4 linked regions of the Arabidopsis thaliana genome follow. The protein of the gene in region 3 interacts with the protein of the main gene of each other region in a pairwise test. Each region holds a gene or a part of one and is shown on either strand. Other genes may lie near its edges. The genes, in order: SCL21, ACR6, ZML2 and OFP13.

Region 1 (4,509 bases), on a different chromosome or scaffold from region 3:
GGGAAAACACGACCACGATATGCCTCCAGGAAGAGTTGTTACTCATAATAACATGCTGGACTCGGAAGTTGATGATAAAGAAGGAGATGCCAACAAGACTCCACAGAGCTCAACTCTTCAATCCATTACAAAAGACCAGCATGTCGAAGATCACTTAAGAAAGAAAACGAAGACTAATGGCTTTGAGAAAAGTCTTGATCAAGGTCCAGTTTTGGATGAGAAGCTGAAGGAGGAAATAAAAGAGAGATCAGATGCAAACAAAGATCACGCAGCCAATCACGCCAAGCCGGAAGCAAAGTCAGATGATAAAACCACTGTTTGTCAAGAGAAGGCAGTAGGAACCCTGGAGAGCGAGGAACAAAAACCCAAGACAGAGCCTGCCCAAAGCTAAGCATTCAGTGTTGTACCGAGTGGTAATTTATATGGCTGTTTTAACATAGATTAGTACAGGCGATATGGTTATAGACTGTACAGTTGTTGTTCAGGCGGGACCAGATTTAGATTAGTGTTTAATGGAATAGTATGCTTTAATACCTTTATGTAACCACTTCCATTTGGTTCAAATAAGAGTTACAGGAAGAGAAGGTAACACAACAAGAGCCCTTCTTTGTTGATGGAGCCTGTGTAATAGTTGTAGCATGGGGATGTATATGATTTGATTCAACCTTATTAATGGTTATGAGACAAAACTATCTATTACTTCCAGTTCTGTCTTTTGCATTACATTCTTGGAGACGTTTATTCTTTCACTTCCATGCACAAGATGAGACCAAGATTCGGTCCATCCAACCAAGGTACAGAGCACCATCTCTTTCTTCAATCGCATACCCGTTGCTGTAATCTCTCAAGAGGGCTCTAATGGTGGCTGAAATGATTGAGCTCAAGGGGTATGGCTCAAAACCCGCCATGGAAAACCTTGACTTCCATTTCCCGAGAAGCTCGTGTCTTTCGATCCTCTCGGCTCCTTCACAAGCTATGATGTTGACGACATCCCTTGCCATGCAGTGCTGCTCGATATTGATCCTTTCCTTGTGATTTCTCGGAAGCATAACATCGATAGATTCGAACATTGCCGTGTAATAACTTAATGTCTCAAGGAACCTAGGAAGGAAAGGGGAAGTGTTCGTGTTGCATTCTTGTTCCACAAGAGTGACTACTTTAGGTGATAGACTCTTCACCATCCTCAGCAACCGGTCCCTGTGGTTTTCCATGCTTACACTCTCATCTGGCAAATGATGCAGCATGTAAGCAAAGTTCACTCCAAGGGCTTCGCCATCTCGGACATCAAGATTTTCCACTTCAACTTCACAACTTGGCCTTGAAACCGCATTGAACCTGAATGGAACATCAAACTTCTTTGCAAGTTTCTCTAGTCTCTTCTTGACTGTAACCAAGACAGATCCATCACCAACTCCGGTAATTCGAATATTTGGAGCCCCACCAGGCCTAGCTGCAAAAGCCTGGATAAGTGCTATCCACTGGCTCCCTTGTCCAATTTGGAAGTCAATAATGTGAATCCTCTCTTCATCCTTCATTGCTTCTGCAATCGCACCATTCGCTGACATGTATCCAAACTTGAAATATGGACAAACCTCATGCAGAACATACACATAAGATAAAAATTCATAACTCTCTGGTTCTCTGGACTGGAGAGACTTATATATCGAACTACCAGAAGCAGCAAGCCTAGCAACAAGCCCTTCTAACATATAAGCTCCCAATCTCTGGATTGGCTCACCAGAAATCGAAACCATACCGCGCAACTCACCCATACACCATCGTGCCATTAGAAGATTATTCTCAGAAACAGCTTTTGCACAAGCAACAAGTACCAACTTCAAGTCTCCCCTTGATATTGCCTCCACTATCAATAACAAATCTTTAGCATCATCAGGCCACATGGAGAGTTCATGGCAGATAGCATCATCGATACTCTCAGCTATCTCTGGCAGTGGCTGCAACATTATTGAACCTCTTACATTGTCCATCACAAATAAGCAAGTAAGAATCTTTGAACATCAACCATTATCCTCAAATGACCTTTTATTTATCTGATCTTCATAACAAACACCTGTAGAATTCATAGACAAAGTCATTAATCAGAGACTGAATTAGATATCAATATTGAACAATAATATCCATGGAGATCAAAACTCTAACAAGAACTCTAGTATCATTGAAATCAACTCATGACTCTATGAATCTACGTCAGCCATGAACTACTTCATCAATAAACAAGGCATACAAGAGTTCCAATCCTAAACAAACTAATTTGACAATTTCTCTTCACACTTTAGAGTAAAGCTTGCTAGAAAGAGCAATCATTTACAACAAACCAACATCAAACTTATCAAAGAAGAAATGTTTTCATGTTTTGTGGATAAGAAGAAGCAGAGCATCAAAATCATCAAGAAAAGAGAATAAAGGTTTGATTTTTATGAGAAAAACAAACCTTGTGTAGGTTAAGAAGTGATCTTTCGGTGGAAGTCGATAAGGGATTTGGTTTTGCAAGTGAGAGATCCAACCAAAGCTCGCAGCTGAAGCAAAAGGAAGAATCTTTTTAGTTGCTGTAGTGAAGAAAATAACACATCACATACGACGTCGTTTTAGGCTTAAACCGAATAAGACCCGATCACCGACTTGACACATCTCGCTTAAAGTCTCTGGTCAAATGGGAAATAGTGTAAGAAGCAATCTAAGAGACATCAGAGGACGACGATCGATGGATCCTCGGATGTGGCACAAAGTCGCCGCTATTTCCGGTGAGATTTAAGATAAAGTAATGATCTTTTGATTTTGATCTTGTGAGGAAAGGTACTGATTCGGATAGAATTGGTTTAGGTATGGCTGCTCTTGGTTTGGGAACTTATGGTGCTCATGTCTTTAAACCAGAGAACCCTTCTTACAAACAGGTTTAGATTCTTGAAAATTGTTGGAAAATTCGATACTTTGTTGGATTTCTGTGAGAAAGTTTAGGTTTTTTTGTTGTTGTTCAGGTGTGGCAAACGGCTTCACTTTACCATTTGGTTCACACTGCTGCTCTTGTTTCTGCTCCTAGCACCAAATATCCCAACATTGTTAGCTTTCTCTTCTTGTACTCTGTTTCTCTAATCTTTGTCCTTTGAGAGTTGATGGAGCTGACATATCTTTTTCTTGCTTAGTTTGGTGGCTTGTTGACTGCTGGAATTGTAGCCTTTTCCGGCACGTAAGTTGTTATCTTTTTGTTTCTCAGATTCTTCAGTTTGAGATGTGTATGGTAGAGCTTTTGTGCTAGATGTTTGTTGGATGTCTTGTCATTGAGGTTATAGTAGTGCATTCATGGATATTTGAGCTATTTAGATATGATTTGGACTTTCTAGAATTCATATCTAATCTCTAGCAGTAGCAATACTTGCCACAATTCTTCGTGGCTAGGGAGATTTTATCGATTTCGACATGTGTCCAACTCTGAAGCATTTGGAAACCATTGTATCACTTATTTAATAGCATAGGTCTTTGTATTTGAGTTAATGAATGGTATTTGTCCCCTTTGTACTTCCTTTGATATGTGAAGGTATGCTCTTTGGAGAAGTAACTATATTTTAGATGCTTAGTAGATAACTTTAGTTTTGTGTTCAATAGTCTATTTCCGGGTATGAGTATGTGAGAAGTTTCATGTGTGTTGAAATGTTGTTGCAGGTGTTATATGGTAGCGCTGCGGGAGGACAGAAAGTTTTCGACATTGGCACCATTCGGAGGCTTTGCGTTCATTGCTGCATGGGCAACTTTACTTTTCTAAACAATCTCATAACCATCTATATTGTCAAGTTTGTGGTCAAGCTTATCCTACATATGAACTCACTGTTTTTTTTTGTTTACCTAAGAGATTGCTTAATAACAATTCTGTGTCGACAACCATTAAGCATCTTCCTTTACTTGTTCAGTTTGTTGCTAAAGGGATTATGTAAATGACGACCATATTAATGTAATCTTATTACCATACAATTTATCAAAATTCTACATTACAAGAACTTCCAAGTTCCAACAAAGATTTGTTTATATTGTTCACCGGTAGTATAATTCATCATCTTTCATTTCATCTTGGTCTTTCCTTTGAATCATTGGACATACTCAAAATGGCACATACTCAAAATGGCACGAATCGTGACCTATCAAATCATGAGATAATCAGAAACAGATGGTTCAAGATTTTGATTGATCAAAGAGCTTAAATAACTGTAACAAAAAGGGTTTAGATAAAGTTGCTTACTAGGGTCGGTTTGTGTGATAAATGCAGTGCTGTTGAAGTTACAGGAACCGCCGTTGCGCTTATAACGCTGGTAATAGTTATTGAAGACAACAGAGGCATGGTCCTTGACAGTGTTGGGCAAGAAGCAAGGCTGGTTAGGCTGAATCGTACTGCAGTCTGCTCCACCTGTTTGACAAGCCCAGTCTACGGCTGCTTGTATCACATTATCTGGTATCTGTCCATCGGCTACACACCATTGTCCGAACTCCGCTTTCGCTACA
Region 2 (5,286 bases), on a different chromosome or scaffold from region 3:
GTCGTATGGAATTATATATTTTACAGAGTAGAATGGAATAAAAGAAAAACCCTGCCAAAATCCATATTGTACAGATTGAGGGAGCTTATCTACGTGGAAATTATGGTTTCTTACTTTATGATCATGTATCTGAAAATACAAAGAAAGAAAAAGAGAGAATTAAGTGGTAAGAAAATTAATGGTGAGAGCGGTAAGAGCCGACAAGAAGGACAGACGGAGCCGTCTATTACCAACAACTCCCTTCTGATAAAAGCCTGTTCTTCAACTCTCCTTGCCTTTTTTTTTTTTTTTACAAAAAAATGAAATTATTCCGATAACTATTATCGGTGTTTGTTTTCAACAGCAATCACTATCTTGATGTCATCGGTTTTAATTCATATGTTTTGTTACTTTTTTTCTTTTTTTCATGGAGAAGTAAATAGAGGTCATGTTATTATACACAAATAATAAAGAAAGAAACAATAATACTAATAATTAGAGGAAAACAGAGTTAGACTCAGAGGTGTAGTAGGCCTCTATAAATACTCTGCATGGCTCTCACTCTCTTCTCACCAACAAACTTTAGCCAATCCCTCTTTCTCTCTTATTCGTGTTTAATCTAGTTTCTTTCCAAACAAAAGTGTAACAAGAGAAAGAGAAGAGATATCAAAGATGCAATACCAGACAGAATCGTGGGGATCATACAAGATGAGCAGCTTAGGATTCGGCGGTTTGGGGATGGTGGCTGACACTGGTCTGCTTCGTATAGAGTCCCTGGCTTCTGAGAGCGCGGTGGTGATCTTCAGCGTGAGCACGTGCTGCATGTGCCACGCCGTGAAGGGTCTCTTCAGAGGAATGGGCGTCAGCCCCGCCGTCCACGAGCTCGACCTCCACCCCTACGGCGGCGACATCCAGCGAGCCCTCATTCGTCTCCTCGGCTGCTCCGGCTCCTCTTCTCCAGGGTCTCTCCCGGTCGTCTTCATCGGCGGTAAACTGGTTGGAGCTATGGACAGAGTCATGGCTTCTCACATAAACGGCTCTCTCGTTCCTCTTCTCAAAGACGCCGGCGCTCTCTGGCTCTGATCCCTTCCTCTGCTTTCTTTTTTCTTTTCTATTTGAAGTTTTCTTGTAAGAGAATGTGGTGGAGGAAGATTAGGAAACTAGTCAATGGCTGTAATGACAGGTTTTAGATTATAGTTTGTAATTAGAGAGAGAGTTGTTTTAAGCTCACCTTTCTCTGTCTTCCTCTTCTTCATCTCTTATTGATCTTTCGAATGCTCTCATTAAATCATAATAGTAAACACTTTGCATCTTTATTAATGTCCCCTGGATCCATTAATCAACGGTATTAACTGACGCCGTATCTATTCAAAGGCAGTTCCTGTTATTTTGTTCACACAAATTTACACACAAGGGACTTGTTGAGAGGGGATCGCTACGATCAGCTTAAATGATGCCCTACTCTGTCTAACCTATACAAAGCACACACACACTCTATGACTATGAGTGAGATAGGTGAAGCTTGAAGCTACTTGGGTTTGAAGATGTTACTTAGCAAATACCCCATTGTAGTTGTTTCGTGCGAAGGCCTGCTTGTACCAAGAACAGAGCAATGCTCCTTCTCCTTCTTCTTCACCTTCAGCTTGCTTACTCCTATCTGTTGTCTGATTGACTCCACGATTTTTGATTCAACCGGGTTTCCAGTCACGTCTGTAACGTAGAACGTGTCTTTAGCCTTACCCTCTCGCGTTGATATCTCTGCTCTCACAATGGTTAAGCTGTTCTCTCGGAATGTTCTGGTTATGTCTGAGAGAAGACCAACTCGGTCTTCTGCTGATAATTCCAGCTCTAAACCCTGAAAGTATGTTTCATATGCACAATCTGTCTTGAGTATATCAGAAATCGATGCAGAACAGAATGTAATTTGAGCCAAGACAGAGAATTTTCACATTCCTAATTGGTTACCTCCGATGCTCTCCTCTCAATGGCTGCTTCCAGACATTGTATGACACGTTCTTGCTCTGCTTCTGAGTTTATGGGAAGTCCATCCACATGACGGATGTAAAATTCCTGCAGCAAAACACTCATATTATTGTTAGAAGAGAGATCCCAACAGACGGCCGTTGAGTAGTTACCTGATAAGCCTCCACTGGTTCTGTGCTGACCATGCCATGGAACACCACATACTGCATATCAGTCAAAGTACAGACTACGTCAAACACAAGCTTTGGTCTATCTTTGGACCTCATGGTAACAACGGTATAATCCTTCTCAATGTTCATTAGTGTGACACTGGGCCTTGACGCCGATGTCCTTGCTCTTTTGACTCCCTCGTAGTCCCTATCATCAAACATGATCTGATGCAACCGTCTCTCCCTGTGTGTATCAGAACAAGAGAAGACTGTTTTCGCAGCTCTTGAGCCGCTGTTTGTCCTCACTACATTGCACAGCAGCTCCTTGATGGTGGAAAGGCGAATCGGGTCAGTAATGGCAGAATGAGTTGAATTGTCCGTGACATGAATAACCGCTGCAGCTCTGGTGTTGTGAGTCCATATCTCAGCGTTCACAACGTTGCAGTGAAGGTCTGTGAGAACAGCAGATACTTCAGACAAGAGACCGGGTCTGTCAGTTCCAGCGAGCTCAATGGATGTGTATTCGTCAGTGGGCATTACACCAACTGAGCTTCTCAAAGGTGGAATGAACCACCCAGCGTTGCTCTCTATCCTCTGCGCAATGAATTCAACAAACGTTTTACACAAAGAAAAAAACCTGTTGAAAATGAAAGAAAAAAAGTGATGAAATACATTAGAAACCTTTTGGATATAGTCAAGGACTTGAGTGTCTCTGATCTTATTGCCATCTTGGTCGATGACTTTGAAAACGTCCATGAACCAACCTCCATCGGAAGAGATGTAAGCTTTCTTGATCACAAGATTCATATCAGTGAGCACTTGTACTACTTCCAATAGAGTCCCATGTTTGTTCACACTATCAACCTTTTATTTAGCACCACAAACAAACAGGGAACTCTGTTTTCTCAAAATCTCTTTGTTTGGTACAGAACCACTTGAACAATTTGAAGAGACAGATTTATTTACCTGAATAACAGTGGCATCGTCGCTTGCGTTGTTGTCTATTACAACTCTGTATCCACCATGAAACATACATAAATAAAGATGAATGTTTTAGCAGCTGGAATCTTTACAAGGGTATAGAGGCTCACAAACGGAGCATGGAGAAACAGAGGACCTAGAAAACAATAAAAGAGTATGGAGAGAAAGAGAAAAACCTGGGAGGATTCATTCTCCTGATGAGCTTGGCATATTCATCATCATCCATGGTTGTAGTATGTATCTCCTTGGTGATTTGGCTGCAGCAGAAACCCAGAAGAGTGTGAGTCCTCCAATTTCTGAGGAAAATTCCTAAAAGAGAGAGGGAGAGGGAAGTTGAAGGAGGATAAAAATGGTAGGCCACCGGAACCGAACCTTGTTTTCATTAGTTGATCGAGCACGTGCCACTAAAGATTCTTAGAGATGACGTGGCACGGGCACAGCAACTTTTAGATTCTGTTATAATTGTTCGAATACTACCAAAAGTCGGGTGAAGATTTGGGGTCAATTTGATGATCATAAAGGGGATTATATTCTCCTTCTCAAGCAAGATGTGGTATTTACTAGTATAATAGATCATTCGTTATCTTGAGGTAGACCTCTCCGTAACGTTCACAGGTGCATGACCAAGTAACAATTTGATTCCTTTCCAGCATAACGTCATGTTGGTTGCAAAAAGAAGGCAAAGTAGAGCAAGCAAGCAAGCAAAGCATTTTTCTTATTTTATATTTTGTTGCGGATTCCACCACCCACTTGAAAAATTGACATGTCACAATGATTTCGTATCCTAGTCTTTTATTATTTAACACTCTCACAATCCCATTACTCTACACCTCTTTCATTAAGTCAACACACGGTTTTCAAAAATCCACTACCCTCCCACCACCTAGAATCTTTTGTTACCTACCAACACCCTCCTTTGTTCTCTTTATATATTGGTCCAACTAAATCAATAAGGGAAAGCATCCTTTTGGTTGGAGGAATTGCTTTCATTCTCACTCTTTGTGTGTTGATCAATGGACTAGCTAATAACAAGTTCCTCCTCTATATATTTCAAAAGAATGGAACAGAAACATAAACGAAAGACAGAGTACCTGATGTTGATGATTCATTGTCTGTCTGGAGCTCCCAAATGCCTTTTATGCTTACATATTCATAACCAACAACGGCTATTAATTATAAACCAAAAACACGAAATAAGTTTGTAGCAAAGTGAAATTAGGAATCTTGGAGATGGATCCATTAGTAGTAGGATAATAGGATATGATGGAATTTGGTTGGGGAACAGTGATAACTTACGCTTGCTTCCGGCGCCGGGAAAGTTGGAAAACCTACAAAGTACAGAAATGGATCTGGGCCTTGAAGTGGGCTTTTTATTAAAGAAAAAAATACATCTCCGTTATCAATCACCATCTTCTTCTATCTACAAATTAAAGAAGGTAACAACAGAACGTGGTGGATCATGTGGTTAGGCATTAATTATTTGCTTTGTTTCGCCGTTTTGGTAACACACAGACACAGTTCCGGTAAGAGCTTTTGCAGCCACTCTTTATAGTTATTTAGAATTGGCGATCGAATCAATCTCACTCCCTCCCTCCCTTAAGTCTTGTTGAATCTGCTGAATTGTTTTATAAAGAGTTACTTTGGCAAAATGGAAAATCCGGCGAAGAGAGTGTTGATGACATCCAACGGCGACGAGGTGTCCCGAAACATCGCTTTCCATCTAGCCAAACACGGTTGCAAGTGAGTCTCTCATTTTGTCTTCTTTCCTCCTATCCTGTGTTTCTTCTTCTAGCCCCGATTTGTGTTGTGGTTGACTTTGGTGTCTATAGTTAACCTTCAAAAAATGCAATGTACTGTTGCTAGGTTGGTAATGATGGGAAATGAGGGTTCCCTAAGGAGCATTGTAGACAAGATTAGAGATTCCATTGAGGGAGCCTTCCCTGCCGATGTTATAGCACTCGACATGGAATCTGACTCTGAAGTTGCTTTTCATGCCGCTGTCCAAAAGGCATGGGAACTTTCCGGCCATTTCGATGCTTTTCTCAACTCTTATACCTACCAAGGTTTAATTTGCTTCTTGTTTTTCACTACCCTGCCTTTGATGCTCTTGTGTGTTGATCATTCCTTTATTCAACAATCTTTCTTTCTTGCAGGAAAGGTGCAGGACATTCTTCAAGTCTCTCAAGATGAGTTC
Region 3 (5,948 bases):
CTAAGAAAGTGGTCAGAACTTGGATTTAAGCTATCAAATAGACTCTAAGGAGTCCTTTAGAAACATAATCAGGAACCTAAGTCAACTACAGAACAAGTGCACAGAGTTTCAGGAGCCATTTTTTCTAGAAACGAATAAAGATTTGTATCCAATCATTGGATTCCAAGGTTAGGCTTTAAAAAGATCTACATGACACAAGATGACACAATACAACATACACGGCACTCAGTAATCTAGGACTCACCCCTGCCGCCCATGAAGGATTGTGAGCATTTCCATTTCTCAAGTTGATAATATTGTAAGGTATACCCGTTGGAGTATTCCATGCAGGCAATAATCTGTCTGCAATATCCTTAGCCTTTTCAAGGAACATTTTGTCCCCAGAAAGATCATACGCACTAAGAAGTCCGCCTACAACTCTGAAGGCAGATAAAGAAAAAGAATATAAGCAGATGCAATATCCGTTCCCCATCTTATGTCACCAACTGATAATCGCAAATAAACTGACTCTTCCTACGATAATTACAGAAAACAACCACAGTAAACCTGTTAAAGCCACCTTATGGTTGTCTCAAACATACTGGCGTCATAATCCTTGTCGAAATCCAATGAGCTTGCAACCCACCTGCAAATAAAAGACAATAAGCAAATGAAGATTAGCAAAGATGAAGAAGTAAAAAGTTGGATTTGCAACTGGGACGAAAACAGTTACATATGAATAAATGAAGAGCCTGCAATTACTCACTCTCTGGCTTTTTGAAACTGCTCATCTAGACCCATTATATAGAGTGTATCTAAAGAATCTACCATAGTTGCTCCAAGGCCACCAAAGCTATCAGTGCCATCTTTTGTCCGAGGCTGACAATAAAAAAAGGAAAGAAACAAGAATAGCTTCAGACCAATATTTTTTTTGCAGAGTTCAGGAAGAAAATAATCTTAGTTCTTAACAAAATCTTTGTAGGCCTGGTAACTTCAGATAAGCTCATAATAAAAGGCTCAACAGGATACTGGAAGAGCAGGCACTAAACGTCAAAATAAAATTTGATTCATAGAGTCCGTCGTAAACTAGATTTCGTATTCACAAGGGTGAAATGTATTTTGGAAAATAATTGTATACCTGAAGCTCATCTTTCCCCCATGCATACTTTTCATAAGAGCTCCAAGCATGGATCATTGCCTCTTTTACTTTCTGCCTTCGCTGTTTATCAACTGGATCTTCTGGGGCATCCTTCAGAGTCTTCAAAGGCTTATTGCCAACACCACCATTAAGCTCTTCTAACTAGCGGAAAATATAGTTAGTTAGCTAAAACATTAGAAAGACTATCTGAGCCTAGAGTGAGGGGAAAATATTAATCTTACCATCTGCTCCAACCGTGAAACTTCTTCATTTAGCTTAAAAACTTCAACCTGCAAGACAAAAAAAAGCAGGACAAGTGAGAGAATGATCACAAGAGAAATTGTTCACTTCCTTGACATTTTTCTTATTTTGGTTACATAGCTTCTTATAAACGAATACATGAATTGAGTCCAGAAGATATTAATTACAGCTCTTTTCTAGTAAATAAAACACCAACTGTCTTACTTATAGACCTTGAGCTATGAAGGCAATCAAACCATTCCAGGCCTAAACCATATAACCTACTTCACCAAAATTCGAATTGGCCTACCAATAAGCTATGATACAAGAACTATCTCCTACTCCTAGGCAGAGTCTAACCAGATTTCATTAGACAAAACATACCTCATGTTCTCGGGCAAGATTAATACGATCCCAGACAAGCATAGAAACAGAGACGAAGACAATGAAAAGCAAAGCCAAACGTCTCGGTCTTCTAAGATAATACGCAGGATTCAAATATTTCCATATCCCATAACCACTAATCGATCTACTTCTCGCCATCTCTCTTCTCAACCCACTCAACAAAAACAGAGACCAATTGAGAAATCAGTGTCCATGAAACAGAGCAAGACAAAAGTTAAAAGCTTTTAAATTTCTGATCCGAAAAGAGTAAGAAACCGAGAGAGAAATAAGTCTCTCAAAGAACAAAAGTTATAGATCCGATTTTAGTAGTTAGAAGGAGGAAGACGAAGAAAGAATTAAAAAACGAAACTTTACCCAAAAACCAAAAGAAAAGTATTTATTTATATCTCCGGCACTTTTGCTTATTTATTCTTTTGATGATAAAATAATCAATCGAGTCTCTTTAGCCCCCACTGGTTCGTCTCTTTCTTCGATTTCTCTTTCTATCTGGTTTCCATTTTCGTCTCGTTGGTGTTCTGGTGGGTTTGGTTTGTCTCTGTTCTTCTATTTGTGGCGTTATCCATCGGTTCAATTGTCATCTTCATCGTTTCCGTCGTGTTATTTGGTGTTTCTCGTTTGGGTCTTTCGAACATCTTTCATTCTTCTCTTTTTGGTGTTGCTCCCCACGAACAGGTAACATCATCTTAACTCTTATATTGGTTTCGTGTGTCGTAATGAGGAACCTATATTTCAATGGTTTTGGATGTCGCTTTGTTTCAGGATTTGCTTTTGTTTCTTAGGGTTTATTTTGTTTGTTGAAATTATAAGTGAGTTTGTGGAATTGGTATAATATGGTTTATGTAAGGCTTAGAGCGTGGAAATATTGAAACTTTGGATTGAATCTGATTGATGCAAATATGTTAGAAGTCTGTGTTAATCTCTTGAAAACAAGCATTGATCCATAAGGTTTCCTGAATTTATGTATAGTGTTAGTTAGAACTTATATGTAAGTTGCTCCAATGACCGAGGAAGTAAGGTTATATAGTATGTGAATCATGTTTTGCTTAGAGCTGATTTGATTTGTCTGGTCATCCATGAATCGTGCTTATGAAGATTAGGTGTTTTTGTTTGAAGTTTCCAGTTTTAATGTTAATTTGTTTTACTTTCACTGTTATCATTAGGTAGATTGATGAAAAGCAACCATGGATGACCTACATGGAAGCAATGCTCGAATGCACATTAGAGAAGCTCAAGATCCAATGCATGTGCAATTTGAACATCATGCTTTGCATCACATCCACAATGGAAGCGGTATGGTTGATGACCAGGCTGATGATGGCAATGCTGGTGGGATGAGTGAGGGTGTGGAAACAGACATTCCTTCTCACCCTGGAAATGTAACTGACAATCGTGGTGAAGTGGTCGACCGTGGTAGTGAACAAGGAGATCAGTTAACATTGTCTTTTCAGGGCCAAGTCTACGTTTTTGACAGTGTCTTGCCTGAGAAGGTGAGTTAAGTTGTTACTGAGTTGGTTCGTTGATTGTCTCATTCCATTAGAATTTATATTCTTACTCCAAGCCACATTTTAGCAAGTGGTTGAAGGATCTAGTTAGCTTTGAGTTTTTTCCATCTATTGATTCTAATGTGTGAGTGCCTCTTGCTATTCGACGCCTGTTGCAGGTTCAAGCTGTGCTTCTATTATTGGGTGGTCGTGAATTACCTCAGGCAGCCCCTCCTGGCCTAGGATCACCTCATCAGAACAACAGAGTATCGGTAATAAAATATATGATGGCATTTATGGGACATAAGTTCCCTTCCTTGATACATTGCTTGACTGACTGACTGACTAATCAATGAAACAGAGTTTACCTGGTACTCCTCAAAGGTTTAGTATTCCGCAGCGATTAGCTTCTTTGGTCAGATTTCGAGAGAAACGGAAAGGAAGGAATTTTGATAAGAAGATTCGGTATACAGTCCGCAAGGAGGTAGCTTTGAGGTACATTGATGTCTAAATCAACAACTTGGTCTAGTTATACTTCTTTTATGGTTGCTCTCCCAAAATTAAGGTTCGCATCTTGATTACTTTTTGTTTTCTGGTATACAGGATGCAACGCAATAAAGGTCAGTTCACATCTGCCAAGTCAAACAATGATGAAGCTGCATCTGCTGGATCTAGCTGGGGGTCGAATCAAACCTGGGCCATAGAAAGTAGTGAGGCTCAGCATCAAGAGATCTCGTAAGTTTAGAAATGCTTTGAAAGTAAACTGCGAGTTCCTGACATACTTTTTAACTTGAACCAACTTAACGTAGTTATTATGGGTTTGCTAAGCAACTTTAGAAGTTGTTTTTGCTTCCAACCTAATGTAGCATCTGACTTAGTTATTAAACTGAACCATCCTAATGTAGAGATGATAGGTTTATTAAGCATCTTAGATGTTGTTTTTGGTTTCAGAAACGTTGTAGAGGTACTAGAACTCTGAAACCTATCAATGATTCAATATCAAGACATACACATTGCATATGTAATATTTAACATGAGCATGGACCTATACGAATTGGTAACATTGAAGGACCAATACAGACAAAATATTATATAAAAGCTCTTCCATGCCTGAAGCAAAATGACTTCTGTGATAGATGATTGGTTAAGACAGGTTGTGATGACTAATATTGTATCCTGGAACTGAGAATTTTTATAATAACTTTGGAATAGACAATTGTCGTTTAAGTCTTTGTAGATTTGAGTTTTTCTTCTTGATAGCCTTACTTTAGTTGGTAAGAACATATCTGATTTTACTTCCTCTGAATGGCTTGATACCTGTAAGATGTCGGCACTGTGGAATTGGCGAGAAGTCAACTCCAATGATGCGACGTGGACCTGCCGGGCCAAGAACACTTTGCAATGCATGTGGACTTATGTGGGCAAACAAGGCAAGACAATACTTGCTTCTTAATTTGATCAACTCTCTTTATCTTGCTCATTTTGTAGCACTAGTGATTCGATGATTAGTCTGTCTAAATGAGGACGACATTTATACTTTCAGGGTGCTTTTAGGGACTTATCCAAAGCCTCTCCTCAAACAGCCCAGAATCTTCCTTTAAATAAGAATGAAGTAAGCAACATCATGTTTTGACCAAACAATTTGTTGTACGAAAAGGAATCCATTCGTCTTTATCATAACTTGTGCATGTCTGATCTATCTTTGCAGGATGCAAATCTTGAGACTGATCATCAAATAATGATAACAGTGGCCAATGACATAAGCAACTCACAGTGAGGACATGTTGGCTCTTGCCATTACAAGCAAGAGAAAGATCCCAACAGAGTTTGAATCGCCTCAGGTTCTGTAGCTTTATCATTCCCTTTGAAAGAATCTGACTCGATTTAGGTTATCAGGATTTGATCTATGACAATGTAATCTGAGTGATAATGATCTGCAATGTTTTGCTTCTTCTTTTTTTATGATTCAAAAATGCTTTATAGACTGTTGTTGCATTGGTCCATACTCTGATGTAACGTCTAGTTGCAGTCTGTGTTTTACCCTATTTTAAAGACAAACTAACTTTATTTAAGAACTCACCAAAAGAGTAGTCTCCTTATGACCACAGGGTTGTTTTGGAGACTTAGTAGCCTCATGTAAAGTGAACCATGTTCAATGCCTCATGCTTCTCTAAGTCAAGAAACAAAAAGAGGCTTGTGAATTGTGATATTATTAGCCAAAGGAACTTGCCAAAGGAACTTGCCAAAACAAGGAGACAAACTAAAATGGTTCAGTGCGAATGTGACTGCTCCTTTGTTTTCAGTGGCAAAGATTTTTACACAGAATTTTGCCTAAAAGACTTTCAAATATCCCTTAGATCAAAAAAAAAAAAAAAAAAAAAAGAGACTTTAAAATATCCCAATTTGTGAGAGATATTTTAGATTCCATTTTTGTTTTTATTTTAGCTTAATAGACAAAATCTTATTTCTTGCATTTTCTCTTCTAGTGAATTGTCTCATCTTATCATGAAAATCTGAAAATCTTCTCATAGTTTCATTTTTTAATAATATTTATATTGACTTTTTAGCATACCAGTCATTACATTTCAATTTTTCTGATAAACTACATTACAATGTTATTAGTTAATTTATGAGAGCTAAGCTTTGGAAATAAATGGTATAAAAGAATATTCTTATAATCTTTGTGGACAAAAGATTATTATCTT
Region 4 (3,531 bases), on a different chromosome or scaffold from region 3:
ATATGCGTGATTCAACGGTGCCCTCTTTAATTCCTCACATGAGTTTTGCACACAATCTTTCTCTCTCTTTTTCTTATTCTATGTTCCCATATTTATCCCACAAACGTTGATCCAATATCTTACGCAAATTAAGGCAAAACAGGAAATTTTTGCAAAAGAGAAAGATATGGAGGTGTTGGGTAAATAAAGTTGAAAATGTACGAAAATAATGATGCATTTATTTCACAACAATGGGTTTCAACATCAGATTGCTTCTGTTTAAATCTTTTACTACTTTCAGTTTTATATCTCTGATAAACTCTATAATATTGACTGATTCCTAAAGGACACTGTCTCAGGATCTATCCCCTACATTCTTGTTCTACCTTGATGGATCATATATTTTACCTTAGTAAAGAAAATCGTCCAAGAAATTCATCATTAATTAAAAACATACATATAACATAGTCCTTCTTCGAATATAAGACTTCAATTCCTCAAAAAAAATTAAACGAAATAAATTATTTTTAAATATATATTCAAGAAACTGATGTTCATCGAGTTTAATTATTCAGTTGAATTACAATTCTTACTTTTAGAAATTTGTATTGCGACCAAGAAGAAACATTCTTTAAGCTCAAAGCTTCATATAATTTACACATACGTAATTTATAGATAACACGTTGACCGAGAGTATTAGAAGCTCACAGTGCTTATAGGAAAGTCAAAACTGACTGCATCAGTACGATTTTTACGTGTTCGTTTATGGATTATATAATACAAAATAGCTTATACATCAGTTTTAAAAAAATTAAACAAATTAATTAAGATGTAAAACACTATTAAAGTCGTAAAGAGAGAGTAATTAAAAATGAGAAGAAGATTTGACAAGACGAGCCAATAGACAAGAATGTAGTACCGTCAATCAACCTTTATAAAGTAGTAGTAGTATATAAAATTACTAAATGTTTATTGGGATTTGTTTTTCTGCAACATTTTCTTGTAAGCAATCGTTTTTAATGCTTTGTGTTCTGCACAGTGCTTTGTCATTGGCTCGGGACTAACATTTTTTCTAGTATTATTTTATTTTATTTTAATTAAAATATTTAATTTTTCTTGTCTTCAACCAAATTGAATGCTACTGCTGTGTCTTACTATACTTGTTCATGAGTATAATATTATCATCTTAAATTTAGATAACAAAGACAAAATAAAAATTCAAATTCCCATAGAGCCATTATATCGTGTTTGCATGAAACTTTTGTTAGTTAAAAAATACAAATTCAACCTCTCCAACAAGGCAATAACAACCCATGGAGCTAATAATATGTAAACTGCATGAGGATAAGTGTTTTCGTCACACAAGAAGATTGTCAATTTTTCAAAACAGCAAAATATTTGTAAAAAACATAATTCTTCCACTCATGTGTATATCAATAAAATCACAACGACAAAAACATTATTGTAAAATGTAGCAATAAACTATTTGTAAAAATAATATATCTCCATTATAAAAACATTTTTGTAAAATTGATCAATTATTAGATCGAATAGTGTAGAAAAAACCAATATTAAAAATTTGGATTGTAGCAAATCAAATATTGGAAAAAACTATTGAAATCCCGGTTGAACAGAAAACGAATCGAAAAAGCTAACCACAAAGCAAAACAAAAACAAACTATCAACTTCAATCATCGTAATTTTTATAGTTAAGACTTTAGACTAAATAAGTAAAAGCACTTCAAATAACTAACCAGAAAAAAATGGAAAATTAACAACAAATAGAAAAATATCCCAAAATTAAATAGACACATGACCTGACCCCACCAGCTCTCTCTTCTCTCCCCATATATCGCATTCCCTCCAACTCCTTCCTCTTCCATTAATTACTAAACCCAAACCCAACCAAAGATCTTCACAAAGAAAAAAACAATTGGTGGTATCAATGGGGAAGAAGAAGATGAAACTCTCTTCTCTGTTCAAAGGCGGAGCCGGAGGATTACTAGCGGTTCCTCTCTGTTACAATGCCAAAACTCTTTCGTTCCGAGTCGGCGACGACATGATCAAGACGGTGAACTCTGTTTTCTTCGACCACCACCACAACAACAACAATGGAGGAGATTTGTTGGAAGCGGAGACGCCTGAGTCATGGTTTACTAACTCGTCCGAGACAGCGAGTCACTCAACCGAGTCGGATCAAGACCTTGACGCTGAGTCCTTAGAGATGGTGGTTCGTGGCGTTGTTAGATCGGAGCGGTTATTCTTCGATCCAGGAGTTACGAGTTCGATTCTGGAAGAGATTGAAGAGAAATCGAAATCGGATTTGAAATCGAAGGAAACGGTTGCGGTGGGAGAAGATCGGAGTACGCCGATTGAGGAGATTAGTGTCGCGGTGGCGATGGAATCCGAGGATCCGTACGGTGATTTCCGGCGATCGATGGAGGAGATGGTGACGAGTCACGGTGAGTTGGCTAAAGATTGGGAGAGCTTGGAATCGATGCTCGCTTGGTATTTGAGGATGAATGGGAGGAAGAGTCACGGCGTTATCGTCAGTGCTTTTGTTGATCTTCTCTCTGGACTCTCTGATTCCGGCGCCGGAATAACGTCGGCTTCGGTATCGGATTCGGCTCGTTATTCAACCGCCGTTTCGTCTTTGCCGTCGTCGCCGGTTTATTCGTTATCTCAAGGTCAGACGGAGATTCAAGAGGAAGAGAGACGGAGCTGTTAAAAATAAAAAAAGGCTTAAGATTCGGTTTTAAATTTTTTAATCTCCGGTTTTGTTTAGATTAATTAACCCTTTTTGGATTTTGTAAAAAGTAATTAGTGGTTAGAGGAAAAAGAACCATTAAATATATATCAAAAATATTTTTAGAGCCATTATTGTTGATTTATGTGTATAACAGTGCCTTTTGTCATAACTCGAAAGTTACACTATTTTTCCCCCAAAATTCATGAAACTCAGCGAAGTTTATGCCAACAGATTCAGAGAAATTTTGTATAACAGCCCCATTTTAAAAGGAAATATACATAAGAATAAATTCTGTGATACTTCTTTTTATTTAAGCTCTTTATTTTTTACTTCTTTTTTAGGTTTTAAAGGACATAGAATTATAATTTCTCATTTTTTTTGCAGGCATATTATATAGCCTTTCTCATTAGATGTAGGCATGTAGCTCCTTTGGCATCCATATTAAAAATTTTTTTGTCACAAATATTGGACCTTACATTTTTTTTCCCCAAATAAAATTTGGTATTACGAATTTTCGATGGTTACACAAGGACTACTACACTAACATAAACTGTAAGACTCATTAAATATCATGCTCGGATAATTCATGTATTAACATTAATAACATAGAGATTTTATTTATTGATTTGACTCTTAAAAGCATCATCACGTAAGATATTTAGCAAAACCCTTTTTGTGATATCCATGCTGGAGTTAAAATCTTGAAAATAAGCGTAATAGAAACACCCGTAGTGTATGTATAAATGTAATTGTCATGAACTTATGAGATTCAAGTTTTAAAAATACAGAAAAGGATAGTGTAT

The links.
Region 1: the proteins of ZML2 (region 3) and SCL21 interact in binary tests that used the Arabidopsis thaliana proteins (3 or more experiments, as listed by UniProt).
Region 2: the proteins of ZML2 (region 3) and ACR6 interact in binary tests that used the Arabidopsis thaliana proteins (3 or more experiments, as listed by UniProt).
Region 4: the proteins of ZML2 (region 3) and OFP13 interact in binary tests that used the Arabidopsis thaliana proteins (3 or more experiments, as listed by UniProt).

What each region holds. Positions count from the first base shown.
Region 1 is NC_003071.7:1,719,829-1,724,337, forward strand, and holds SCL21 (SCARECROW-like 21), read right to left. Parts: upstream 2,777-4,509; 5' UTR 2,763-2,776; coding exon of another isoform or gene 2,672-2,762; 5' UTR 2,453-2,671; intron 2,072-2,452; 5' UTR 1,989-2,071; coding exon 747-1,988; 3' UTR 533-746; downstream 1-532. Other genes in the region: ZAP1 (zinc-dependent activator protein-1), read left to right, coding at 1-391; AT2G04900 (uncharacterized protein), read left to right, coding at 2,672-2,762, 2,842-2,912, 2,997-3,077, 3,162-3,205, 3,679-3,778; AT2G04910 (Carbohydrate-binding X8 domain superfamily protein), read right to left, coding at 4,152-4,509. UniProt on the Arabidopsis thaliana protein: Probable transcription factor involved in plant development.
Region 2 is NC_003074.8:328,288-333,573, reverse strand, and holds ACR6 (ACT domain repeat 6), read right to left. Parts: upstream 3,476-5,286; coding exon 3,465-3,475; intron 3,438-3,464; exon of another isoform or gene 3,350-3,437; coding exon 3,269-3,349; intron 3,124-3,268; coding exon 3,078-3,123; intron 2,976-3,077; coding exon 2,793-2,975; intron 2,706-2,792; coding exon 2,115-2,705; coding exon of another isoform or gene 2,064-2,114; exon of another isoform or gene 2,050-2,063; coding exon 1,945-2,049; coding exon of another isoform or gene 1,933-1,944; exon of another isoform or gene 1,861-1,932; coding exon of another isoform or gene 1,835-1,860; coding exon 1,508-1,834; 3' UTR 1,452-1,507; coding exon of another isoform or gene 1,421-1,451; 3' UTR 1,063-1,420; coding exon of another isoform or gene 652-1,062; 3' UTR 512-651; downstream 1-511. Other genes in the region: ROXY1 (Thioredoxin superfamily protein), read left to right, coding at 652-1,062; AT3G01980 (NAD(P)-binding Rossmann-fold superfamily protein), read left to right, coding at 4,741-4,832, 4,956-5,286. UniProt on the Arabidopsis thaliana protein: May bind amino acids.
Region 3 is NC_003070.9:19,130,233-19,136,180, forward strand, and holds ZML2 (ZIM-LIKE 2), read left to right. Parts: upstream 1-1,988; 5' UTR 1,989-2,434; intron 2,435-2,922; 5' UTR 2,923-2,943; coding exon 2,944-3,249; intron 3,250-3,422; coding exon 3,423-3,515; intron 3,516-3,604; coding exon 3,605-3,738; intron 3,739-3,846; coding exon 3,847-3,978; intron 3,979-4,567; coding exon 4,568-4,673; intron 4,674-4,786; coding exon 4,787-4,855; intron 4,856-4,951; coding exon 4,952-5,020; 3' UTR 5,021-5,398; downstream 5,399-5,948. Other genes in the region: MNS1 (alpha-mannosidase 1), read right to left, coding at 245-419, 560-625, 746-858, 1,118-1,279, 1,360-1,407, 1,742-1,900. UniProt on the Arabidopsis thaliana protein: Transcriptional activator that specifically binds 5'-GATA-3' or 5'-GAT-3' motifs within gene promoters.
Region 4 is NC_003076.8:1,397,761-1,401,291, forward strand, and holds OFP13 (ovate family protein 13), read left to right. Parts: upstream 1-1,634; 5' UTR 1,635-1,924; coding exon 1,925-2,707; 3' UTR 2,708-3,024; downstream 3,025-3,531. UniProt on the Arabidopsis thaliana protein: Transcriptional repressor that regulates multiple aspects of plant growth and development through the regulation of BEL1-LIKE (BLH) and KNOX TALE (KNAT) homeodomain transcription factors.